Linked DNA regions of Canis lupus familiaris. The protein of the gene in region 1 purifies or fractionates together with the protein of each later gene. This does not show direct contact. Links are inferred from orthologs where the notes say so. Each region holds a gene or a part of one and is shown in the gene's direction. Other genes may lie near its edges.

Region 1 (3,653 bases):
CGTGATTAGACACTGGGATTATGGGTTTTGGTGAGGAGGAACACAGAGATAAAGTGCCATTTTCATCACATTGTAATTATGGCACATACTGTCAACATGATTTATGATAGTTAATGTTGACCTTGATCATCTTAGCAAGGAATTGTCAGGTTTCTCTACTGTAAAGTTACTCTCCGCCCCTCCTGTCTATACTGTACTCTTTGGAAGGAAGTCATTATGTGCATTATGCTCCACTTCCTTGAGAGGAGAGTATCTTCATAAGTTATTCTTCCATCTGGGACATTTGTCTGTTCTCCCTCCCTCCGTTCTTCCCTCATTCATTTATTCAGTCATTAGTCATTTGTATCAGTATGGACTTGTGAGTATTTATTTATATTTTGTATCCAATACTGCTTTATTTTATTGTTCTAATTGTTTCAGCTTTGGCCAACTCTAATTCTTTGAGTTGGCTTCTGTGCCCCTTGATATATCTACCTCCTTGTTTTTGAGCACTTCCTTACTTCCTGGCACTACAAGATGCTCCAGGTTCATTTCATATGCCTCATTCCTAGAATCAGTCATTTCTCTTAGGAGTACTAGGTTCTTTTACTGGAGGGTGGCATTAGAAATCAGGGTCTCGGGGATGCTTGGCTAGCTCAGTTGGTAGAGCCTCCCTCCCTCCTTCCCTCCCTCTGAGAGGGTGGGGAGGGGTAGAGGGGGAGAGAGAATCTTAAGCAGGTTCCATGCCGAGTGGAGCCTGACTTGGGGCTTGATCTCACAACACTGAGATCATGACCTGAGCTAGAATCAAGAGTTCAATGCTTACCTGACTGAGCCACTCAGGTGCCCCAGAGCATGTGACTCTTAATCTTGGGGTCTTGAGTTCAAGCCCCATTTTAGGTGTGAAGCCTACTTAAAAAAAGAAAATCAAGATCTGGCTTTAAAGTGTGTGTCTACCCCCCCCCCCCCCCCCCCCACATTTTCTTTTTTTATTCCAGCTACCATGGTTTTGGAATACAGAGACCATATCAACAACAGCAGCCTGTTCCAAATAGTGATGCTGTCTTGAATTGCCCTGCCTGCATGACCACACTATGTCTTGATTGCCAAAGGTAATGGATAAAGGGTGTCATAGCACACCACAAACACACATACACACACATGCATACACAAAATGATGAAAAACAACTTGGTTTTTTGTTTAAATCAGAAATAGACTTTTGAGGTATATACTTAGGAATTCTGATAAAGTTCTGTCCTCCTGTGTCCTTGCTGCTACATAACTAATCTTTATACAAATAATTTTAGTTATACATAGTTCTTTTTTTTTTTTTTTTTTAGTTATACATAGTTCTAAGTAGTTTTTCCTTTTTCTTTTTCTTTTCATTTTTTTTTTTTTTTTTTTTTTAAAGATTTTATTTATTTGCTCATGAGAGTCACAGAGAGGCAGAGACACAGGCAGAGGGAGAAGCAGGCTCCATGCAGAGAGCCCGATGTGGGACCAGATCCTGGAACTCCGGGATCAGGACCTGAGCCGAAGGCAGACGCTCAACTACTGAGCCACCCAGGCATCTCATAAGTAGTTTTTCTAATAAAGCACATACTTAAAAGGATTCAGTGAAACTGCATATATATTGTGGAATGATGTAATCTGTCAAATACATTCTTTTTTAAAAAATTGTGATAAAACATAAAATTTACTGTTTTAACCATTGAAAACTTTTTATTAAAGAGTACATCATTTGGGTATTAAATTTATTGTCAACTAGACCATTTAAAAATTTAAAATCATTTCCTAGCTTTATCGAGATATAATTGACACATAACATTATGTAAGTTTGAAGTGTACAACATGATGATTTGATATACAAATATATTGCTAAATGATTACATAAGGTTAATGCATCCATCACCTCATGTATTTTCCTTTTTTTGTTTGTTGAGAACTCTTAAAATTAGTTTTTTTTAGCAACTTCAAGTATATAGTACAAGATTGTTAACTGTAGACATTGTGTTTATTACATCCTCAGACCTTCATCTTATAATTGGAAGTTTGTACCACTTGACAGTCTTCACTTGTCCACCCTTCCCCCACTAACCACCAGTCTACTTTGTTTCTTACTGTTCATTTTTTTTTTTGGATTTATATACAAGTGAGATCATTCAGTAATTTTTTGTCTATGACTTCATTTAGCTTAGTGCCCTCGAGGTTCATTCATGTTTTCACAAATGACAGGATTTTCTTTCTTTTTTTTTGTATTCCATTGTATCTATACACCATGTTTTCTTTATCCATTCACGTAGCATGTACACTTAGTTTCCATGTTTGGCTATTATGAATAAAGCTGCAGTAGGTTTTTGGGGAGAAGACCACAGAGGTAAAGTGTTGTTTTCATTACATTGTATCAAGGGCATGGACTATCAACAACAACAAAAATCAACAGATTTAAAAAATTAAAAAAAAAAAAAAAAAAAAAAAAAAAAAAAGGGATCCCTGGGTGGCGCAGCGGTTTGGCGCCTGCCTTTGGCCCAGGGCGCGATCCTGGAGACCCAGGATCGAATCCCACATCAGGCTCCCAGTGCATGGAGCCTGCTTCTCCCTCTGCCTGTGTCTCTGCCTCTCTCTCTCTCTCTCTGTGACTATCATAAATAAATAAAAATTAAAAAAAAAAAAAAAAAAAAAAACAGATTTATTAACTGTTAATGTTGACCTTGATCACCTGGCTGATGTCGTGGTGCAGATATTTCTTCGAGAGAGTGATTTCATTTCCTTCAGTTATATACCCAGAAGTGGGATTGCTGAATCATATGGTAGTTCTATTTTTAATATTTTGAGGCGCCTCCATACTGTTTTCCATAGTCACTATACCAATTTACATTCCCACCAGTAATGTGCAAGTGTTCACTTTTGTTTTGTCTTTTTGGTAGCCATTCTAACAGGTGTGAGGTAATACCTCACTACAGTTTTTATTTACGTTTCCCTGATGATTAAGGATGATGAACACCTTTTCATGTACCTGCTGGCCATTTGCATATCTTTTTTGGAAAAATGTCTGTTCAGGTTCTTTGCCTTTGCCTTTTTTTTTTCTTTGCTATTGAGTTGTATGAGTTTCTTGGATATTAGCCCCTTGTTAAATACATGATTTGCAAATATTTTCTTCCATTCCGTAGGTTTCTATTTCCTTTTGTTGATGGTTTCTTTGCTATGCTGAAGCTTTTTAGCTTGTTGGTTTTTTTTCTATTTCTGTGAAAAATGCCATTGGAATTTTGATAAAATTGCATTGACAATAGATGACTTTGGATAGTATGGACTTTTTTTCTTTTTTAAGATTTTATTTATTCATGGGAGAGAGAGGCAGAGACATAGAGGGAGAAGCAGGTTCCCTGTAGGGAGCCTGTTGCAGGACTCGATCCCAGGACCCTGGGATCACTTGTGAGCCCTTAGCCGAAGGCAGACACTCAACTGCTGAGCCATCCAGGTGTCTCACTATGGACTAATTGACTATTTATTTTTTAAAAGATTTTATTTATTTATTCTTGAGAGACACAGAGAGAAGCAGAGACATAGACAGAGGGAGAATCAGGTTCCTCACAGGGAGCCCAGTGTGGGGCTCGATCCCCACACCGGGATCATGCCCTGAGCCAAAGTCAGATGCTCAACCACTCAGCCACCC
Region 2 (3,753 bases), on another chromosome or scaffold:
CACACCCCTCCACCTTGTGTGCCAGGGTGGGTCCCTGAGAGAACAGAGTGGCCCAAGGAGCAGCCCTGCTTACTTGCCCCTGCACGACCCTGGGGATCCTGGCCTGCAGGCACAGCACAGCCAGTCTGTGCTGGGGAGACCGAGACTGGGGGCGCCCCCAGGAGGGCGGTTCCCTGGGGCGCCCTCGCACAGCGGCACACTGCAGCTGCAGGCGGGGCTGGGGGGCTGGGGGGCCCCCAGGAGGGCAGGTCCCTGGGGCATCCTCACACAGCAGCACACTGCAGCTGCAGGTGGGGCTGGGGGGCCCCCAGGAGGGCGGGTCCCTGGGGCGCCCTCGCACAGCAGCACACTGCAGCTGCAGGCGGGGCTGGGGGGCCCCCAGGAGGGCAGGTCCCTGGGGCATCCTCACACAGTGGCACACTGCAGCTGCAGGCGGGGCTGGGGGGCCCCCAGGAGGGCGGGTCCCTGGGGCGCCCTGGCACAGCGGCACACTGCAGCTGCAGGTGAGGCTGGGGCGCCCCCAGGAGGGCGGGTCCCTGGGGCGCCCTCGCACAGCTGCACACTGCAGCTGCTGGCGGGGCTGGGGGGCCCCCAGGAGGGCGGGGTCCCTGGGGCATCCTCGCACAGCGGCACACTGCAGCTGCAGGCGGGGCTGGGGGGCTGGGGCATCCCGACCTAGCTGCCCGGTGCTGCCGCAGGCCATGCTGGGCGGCCCCGGAAACGAGGGGTCCGCGGGCTTCCCGAGCACTCCAGGACCGCGGCCCCGAGAGACGCGGCCAGACCGGCCGTCAGGTGGGCAGCACCGGCCGGGCCGTCGGGACCGCGAGCCGAGCGCTCAGACGGAACCCGGCCCCCCCCCACCCCCTCCCCCTCCCCCTCCCCCGACCCACGAGCGGGCGGCCCGCACTTCCGGCCTGACCGGAAGCACCCGGCGACGATGCCGCGTGCGACGATGCACTTCCGGCCTGAGGCGGCCGCTGTGCTCGCGACTTCCAGCAGGCGGCGCTGGGGCCCCGGGAACGCGGCGCTGGCCGTTAGTCCTGGAGCATTCTGGGAGTCGCAGTGCTGCCTCTTCCTCCTCCTCCTTTCCCTCCTCAATTCCGGCTCTTTGCGCGAAGGAGAGCCGACGTTTCCGGGGAGGGGGGAGGCTAGGGAGAAAAGCGAGGACGCATGCGCAGGGGCTACGGGACCCGACAGGCCTCGGGAGTAGCGTCCCGGTGCCTTGTGGGAGGTGTAGTTCTTCAGGTGCGGACGCCGAGGCGCCGGGCCGGCGGAAGACTCGGTTTCCCAGGAGGCCGAGCGCGGCGAAAGATGGAGGCGGCCCGGCGGCTTTGAGCCGGTAGGCTTGTGGCGCGGGAGAGAGGTCGCCTTTTCGCAGCCTCCTCGCCCCACATCCCCGAGGTGTTTCGCGTCTTTGGTGGCTCCCCGAGCCTGGTGAGCCGCGGCCCGCGTGCGGCCAGGCCCCCGCCGGGGCGGAGACAGCCGGCGCCGGCTTCCACGGGCGGCCGAGCGCGCCCCAGCCCTGCCCCGGCCGAGCCGCCGGCCTCCGCGGAGAAGCCCGGGAGCCGCCGCGGCCGCTCGCTGTCGCGGGGCGCTGTGCCCGACCCCGGGGCGCCCGCCGGCCCGGCCGCCCCCCCAGGTCGCGGCGGCGCCCCGCCCTCCGGAGCTCCTTCCCTCGCGGGGACGTGCCAGGAGAGGCTGCTGCCGGAGCCGCGGGCTTGCCCTGCCCGCAAGGATGCCCCGGGCGGCCGCTGACCCCCCACTTCCCCGCGGGCCTGACGGTCAGACGCGGAGGCCCCGGCTGCAGACCCGCGTGGAGTCCCGGGGCGTCTGGGCAGGCAGGGGCAGCCCTTGCCTTGCCCAGGCAGGTGGCGCAGCTGTGCCGAGCAGCTCGTGGACGGGCCGCCTGGTCGAGCGCCGTCGTGGAGCGCAGAGCCTGCTGCTGCCCCCGGGCTGGGCCCTGGCTGCTGCCTGCCTAACCCCCAGCGGGCCCCTAGACTTAGCTCAAGAGGGCTGAATGAAGATCTTCCCGAAGGGTCTGCGTCCAGGCCGGCCTGGGCCTGGGCCCCGGAAACCCAGGACCGCCCCCTGGGGGTCGCGGTACCGCTTTGCCCTGGTGCTCCCTGACGATTTGCCCTTCCCACCTTCTGCCCGCTACAGTTGAGCAGCTAAGCGGAGCCGGGACTGAGGCCACCGGGCGCCTTTGCCGGGACTTCACCCACCAGAATTCTGGTGTCTGCACAGACGTTCATCAGACAACGGAGGTGAGACGTTGAGGGGGGGGCGGGTGTGGGAATCTCTGTCCTTTGTTTGGTAGGACATAGCTCTTCCTTCTGGCCCTGCCGCCTGCCCAGGGACTGTGGGTTTATAGGAGGGGCCCGTCCTAAATGGGTGCAATCCTCAGAAACGAACTCTTTGGGCTGTTCTGGTCTAGGTGTGGTGGCCCTGGGACACATGTCTGAGGTAGGGGTAGGAGAGCCCCTGGAAGCCGAGCGAGGAACAGAGGATGACGCTCTGCCTTCCGACACCGTCTCTCTCAGTGACTCGGACTCCGATTTCAGCTTGCCTGGCGGTACTGAGATGGAAGCTCTGCCCCCGGGGGTGCTATCTGGGGAGGCCCAGGGGGACTCAGACCCCGATGAGACCCCTTTGCCTCCAAAAGGCCTCCCCACAGCCTCAGTACAGCCCTTCCACCTGAGAGGCACGAGCTCCACCTTCTCCTGGCGCAGCCGCAACATCTTTGACTGCCTGGAGGACGCAGCCAGGCAAGACCCGGGTGACCATGGGGATTTCATGCAGCCACCAGCATCCTCACACCAGCGTCCAGGAGAGGGCCCGGGCAGGGCCAGTCAGAGCCCTGCCCCCACGAAGTTGCCCCCCATCCCTGACTACATGGCCCACCCTGAGCGCTGGACCAAGTACAGCCTGGAAAACGTAGCCGAGGTCAGTGAGCAGAGCAATCAGGCTGCCGCCCTGGCCTTCCTGAGCTCCCAGAGCCTGGCTGGCCCCAGAGACTACATGCCGTCCTTCAACCAGGATCCCTCCAGCTGTGGGGAGGGAAGAGTCATCTTCACCAAACCGGCCCGAGCTGGCGAGGCCAGGCCTGAGAGGAAGAGGGCCCTGAGGAAGGCAGGAGAGTCAGGCAGGGGTGCCCCTGGGGACCTGGGAGCAGCAGGGGGCGAGGGCCCTGTGGAGCTGGCCCACCTGGCAGGGCCTGGGAGCCCAGAGGCTGAGGAAGAGAACAGCCCCCACGGGGGGCTACAGGAAGTGGACGTGCCACAGGGGGCTGCCCATGCTAGGTCAGCGGTGGGGCCCCCAGTGGTGGAGACTGTTGGCTTCCATGGTAGCAGGAAGCGGAGCAGGGACCATTTCCGGAACAAGAACAACACACCTGAGGCCCCAGGTGCAGAGATTTGAGAGAAGAGACTGCCTGGCTGGCGTTTCCTGACCATGCGGTGGAGGAGGGCAGCCGGGGTCACTGGCCACTTGGAGTGGAGTGGAGCTTGGGGCCCCCCGCCCTGGAAAGGGAGCCAGCGGTCTGCCAGTGTGAGGCGCCAGCAGCCTGGGCTAGGGCTCGGGATAGTGGTCTCTGAAGCAGACAGCTTGCCAGTGGACAGCAAAGACCCTGGCCCACCACATGCCTGTGGGGCCACAGTAAAGGTTTTGGGTGTTGCTTAGACTTTGTGTGTGTGTGTTTGTGTAGATCCTGCGCCTCGGGCCATTGTCTGCCATGCTGTACACCCAACACCCGGT
Region 3 (2,506 bases), on another chromosome or scaffold:
CCCACCCCCCTGCCCTCCTCCCCTTCTACCACCCCTAGTTCGTTTCCCAGAGTTAGCAGTCTTTATGTTCTGTCTCCCTTTCTGATATTTCCCACACATTTCTTCTCCCTTCCCTTATATTCCCTTTCACTATTATTTATATTCCCCACATGAATGAGAACATATAATGTTTGTCCTTCTCCGACTAACTTACTTCACTCAGCCATAAAAAATATTTAAAAGCACTACTTGTAGTTATCCCTAGTCATCATCTCAATGTTATTGGGACTCAGATCACCATCTTATAGTTCAATATCCCAATCTTCTTCTTTTTTTAAAAAAGATTCCAATAAATAAATAAATAAATTAATTAATTAATTAAAAAAAAGATTCCATTCATTTATTCATGAGAGACACAGGAAGAGAGAGGCAGAGACACAGGCTGAGGGAGAAGCAGGCTCCATGCAGGGAGCCTGATGAGGGACTCGATCCCAGGTCTCCAGGATCACACCCTGGGCCGAAGGCAGGTGCTAAACTGCTGAGCCACCCAGGGATCCCCAATATCCCTATTTTCTTAGATGTTCCCTTGAGGAAGGGGATCTGCATGTCTTAGAGGTGCTGGACTAGTGCCCTGTGAGTTTCTTGGAACTCTGAAAGTCTATAATCTCTACCAACTCCTCAGTTACTGCCTTTCATGATATGTTTAACTAATCAGGAAAGGGACAAGGAGCATAGACTGCAGGAGCCAGACAGACTAGTGTATTAATTTTCTGTAGCTGGGTAACAAATAACCATACACTTAGTGGCTTGAACACATACTCATTATCTCACGGTTTCTGTGGGCAGGCATTTAGGGATGGCCAAGCTTGGTGCTATGCTACAGGGCCACACAAGATTGTAATGAAGGTGTCAGCCAGGACAGAGTTCTCATCTGCAGGAGCCAATTCTACATAGGGACTATAATAACTTGGATGTGTAGATTTATGTATTTCATCAAATTTGGAAAGATCTGCTCACTATGTTTTCAAATATTCTTTCTGCCCCTTTCTCTTTCTTCTCTTATTCTGCAGCTCCAATCAGGTGTATGTAGGTACACAGGAAGGCATCCCATACATTTTTGTTTGTTTCTTAAGTTTCTCAAAGAGTGATCCTTAAGCCAGAAGCATTGACACCACCTCAGAAGTTGTTAGAAATATAAATTCTGGGGCACCTGGGTGGCTCAGTCAGTTGAGCATCTGATTCTTGGTTTTGGTTCAGGTCATGTTCTTGCAATCATGAAATTAAGTAAGCCCTGTGTTGGGGCTCCATGCTCAGTGGGGAGTCTGCTTTAGATTCTTTCTCCCTCTCCCTCCCACTCATGTGTTCTCTCTCTCTCAAATAAATAAATAAACAAATAAACAAATAAATAAATAAATCCTAAAAAAAAAAAAGAAATGTAAATTCTTAGGCCTTGTTGCAGATGTATTAAAGAAACTCTGGGGTCCGCTTCCACCATGGCGTACCGTGGCCAGGGCCAGAAAGTGCAGAAGGTGATGGTTCAGCCCATCAACCTCATCTTCAGATACTTGCAAAATAGATCTCGGATTCAGGTGTGGCTTTATGAGCAAATAAACATGCGGATAGAGGGCTGTATCATTGGTTTTGATGAGTACATGAGCCTTGTATTAGACGATGCCAAAGAGATTCATTCTAAAACAAAGTCAAGAAAACAACTGGGTCGGATCATGCTAAAAGGAGATAATATTACCCTGCTCCAAAGTGTCTCCAACTAGAATGAATGATCAGTGAAGTGAGAAATTCTTGAGAAGGCCACGTAGTTTGTTTTTTTAGATGTCCTTTGTTGGGAATATAGTTCTAAAACCCTTGTTCATATTGTTTTGATTACCTTTATGTTCTTACCAGAGGACAATAAATGCTGTGGGATTGTTTTTATTAAAAAAAAAAAAAAAAGAAAAAAAAAGAAACTCTGGGGATGAGGCCCAACAATCTGTGTGTGTGTGTGTGTGTGTGTGTGTGTACGTGCATGCGTGCATGTGTGTGTGTTTTAATTGAAGTTGATACACAATGTTATAGTAGTTTTAGGTGTACAACATAGTATTTGACAAGTCTACATATTATGCTATACTTACCGAAAGTGTAACTACCATCTGCCACCACACAACCCAATTACAATATCATTGATTGTATTCCCTACCCTGTACTTTTCATTCCCTTGACTTATTCATTCCATAACAAGAAGTCTGTACTTCTTACTCCCTTTTACCCATTTTGCCCATCCCCCTAAACCCCCTTTGACAACCACCAGTTTGTTCTCTGTATCTATGAGTCTGTTTCTGTTTTGTTTGTTCCTTCATTTTGTTTTTTTAGTTCCACACATAAGTGAAATCATATAGTATTTGTCTTTTTCTGTCTGAGTTGTTTCGTTCAGCATAATACCCTCTAGGGCCATCCACGTTATTGCAAATGGCAAGATCTCATTCTTTTTTATGGATAATAGTCCATTGTGCTGATGCATCATGGACCTCTA

The links.
Region 2: the proteins of E2F-associated phosphoprotein (region 1) and TSSC4 purify together in Homo sapiens (affinity purification with mass spectrometry; 3 studies listed by BioGRID and IntAct, counting the BioPlex papers as one, with this or other methods). This does not show direct contact. The link is inferred for Canis lupus familiaris from reciprocal best matches to the Homo sapiens genes EAPP and TSSC4.
Region 3: the proteins of E2F-associated phosphoprotein (region 1) and small nuclear ribonucleoprotein E-like purify together in Homo sapiens (affinity purification with mass spectrometry; 3 studies listed by BioGRID and IntAct, counting the BioPlex papers as one, with this or other methods). This does not show direct contact. The link is inferred for Canis lupus familiaris from reciprocal best matches to the Homo sapiens genes EAPP and SNRPE.

The regions. Positions count from the first base shown.
Region 1 is NC_049229.1:13,544,198-13,547,850, reverse strand, and holds part of E2F-associated phosphoprotein, read left to right. Parts: intron 1-977; coding exon 978-1,091; intron 1,092-3,653. UniProt on the Homo sapiens protein: May play an important role in the fine-tuning of both major E2F1 activities, the regulation of the cell-cycle and the induction of apoptosis. Promotes S-phase entry, and inhibits p14(ARP) expression.
Region 2 is NC_049239.1:46,929,757-46,933,509, forward strand, and holds TSSC4 (protein TSSC4), read left to right. Parts: upstream 1-1,146; 5' UTR 1,147-1,434; intron 1,435-2,160; 5' UTR 2,161-2,264; intron 2,265-2,434; 5' UTR 2,435-2,454; coding exon 2,455-3,417; 3' UTR 3,418-3,679; downstream 3,680-3,753. UniProt on the Homo sapiens protein: Protein associated with the U5 snRNP, during its maturation and its post-splicing recycling and which is required for spliceosomal tri-snRNP complex assembly in the nucleus.
Region 3 is NC_049222.1:93,812,992-93,815,497, forward strand, and holds small nuclear ribonucleoprotein E-like, read left to right. Parts: upstream 1-1,453; 5' UTR 1,454-1,472; coding exon 1,473-1,751; 3' UTR 1,752-1,913; downstream 1,914-2,506. UniProt on the Homo sapiens protein: Plays a role in pre-mRNA splicing as a core component of the spliceosomal U1, U2, U4 and U5 small nuclear ribonucleoproteins (snRNPs), the building blocks of the spliceosome.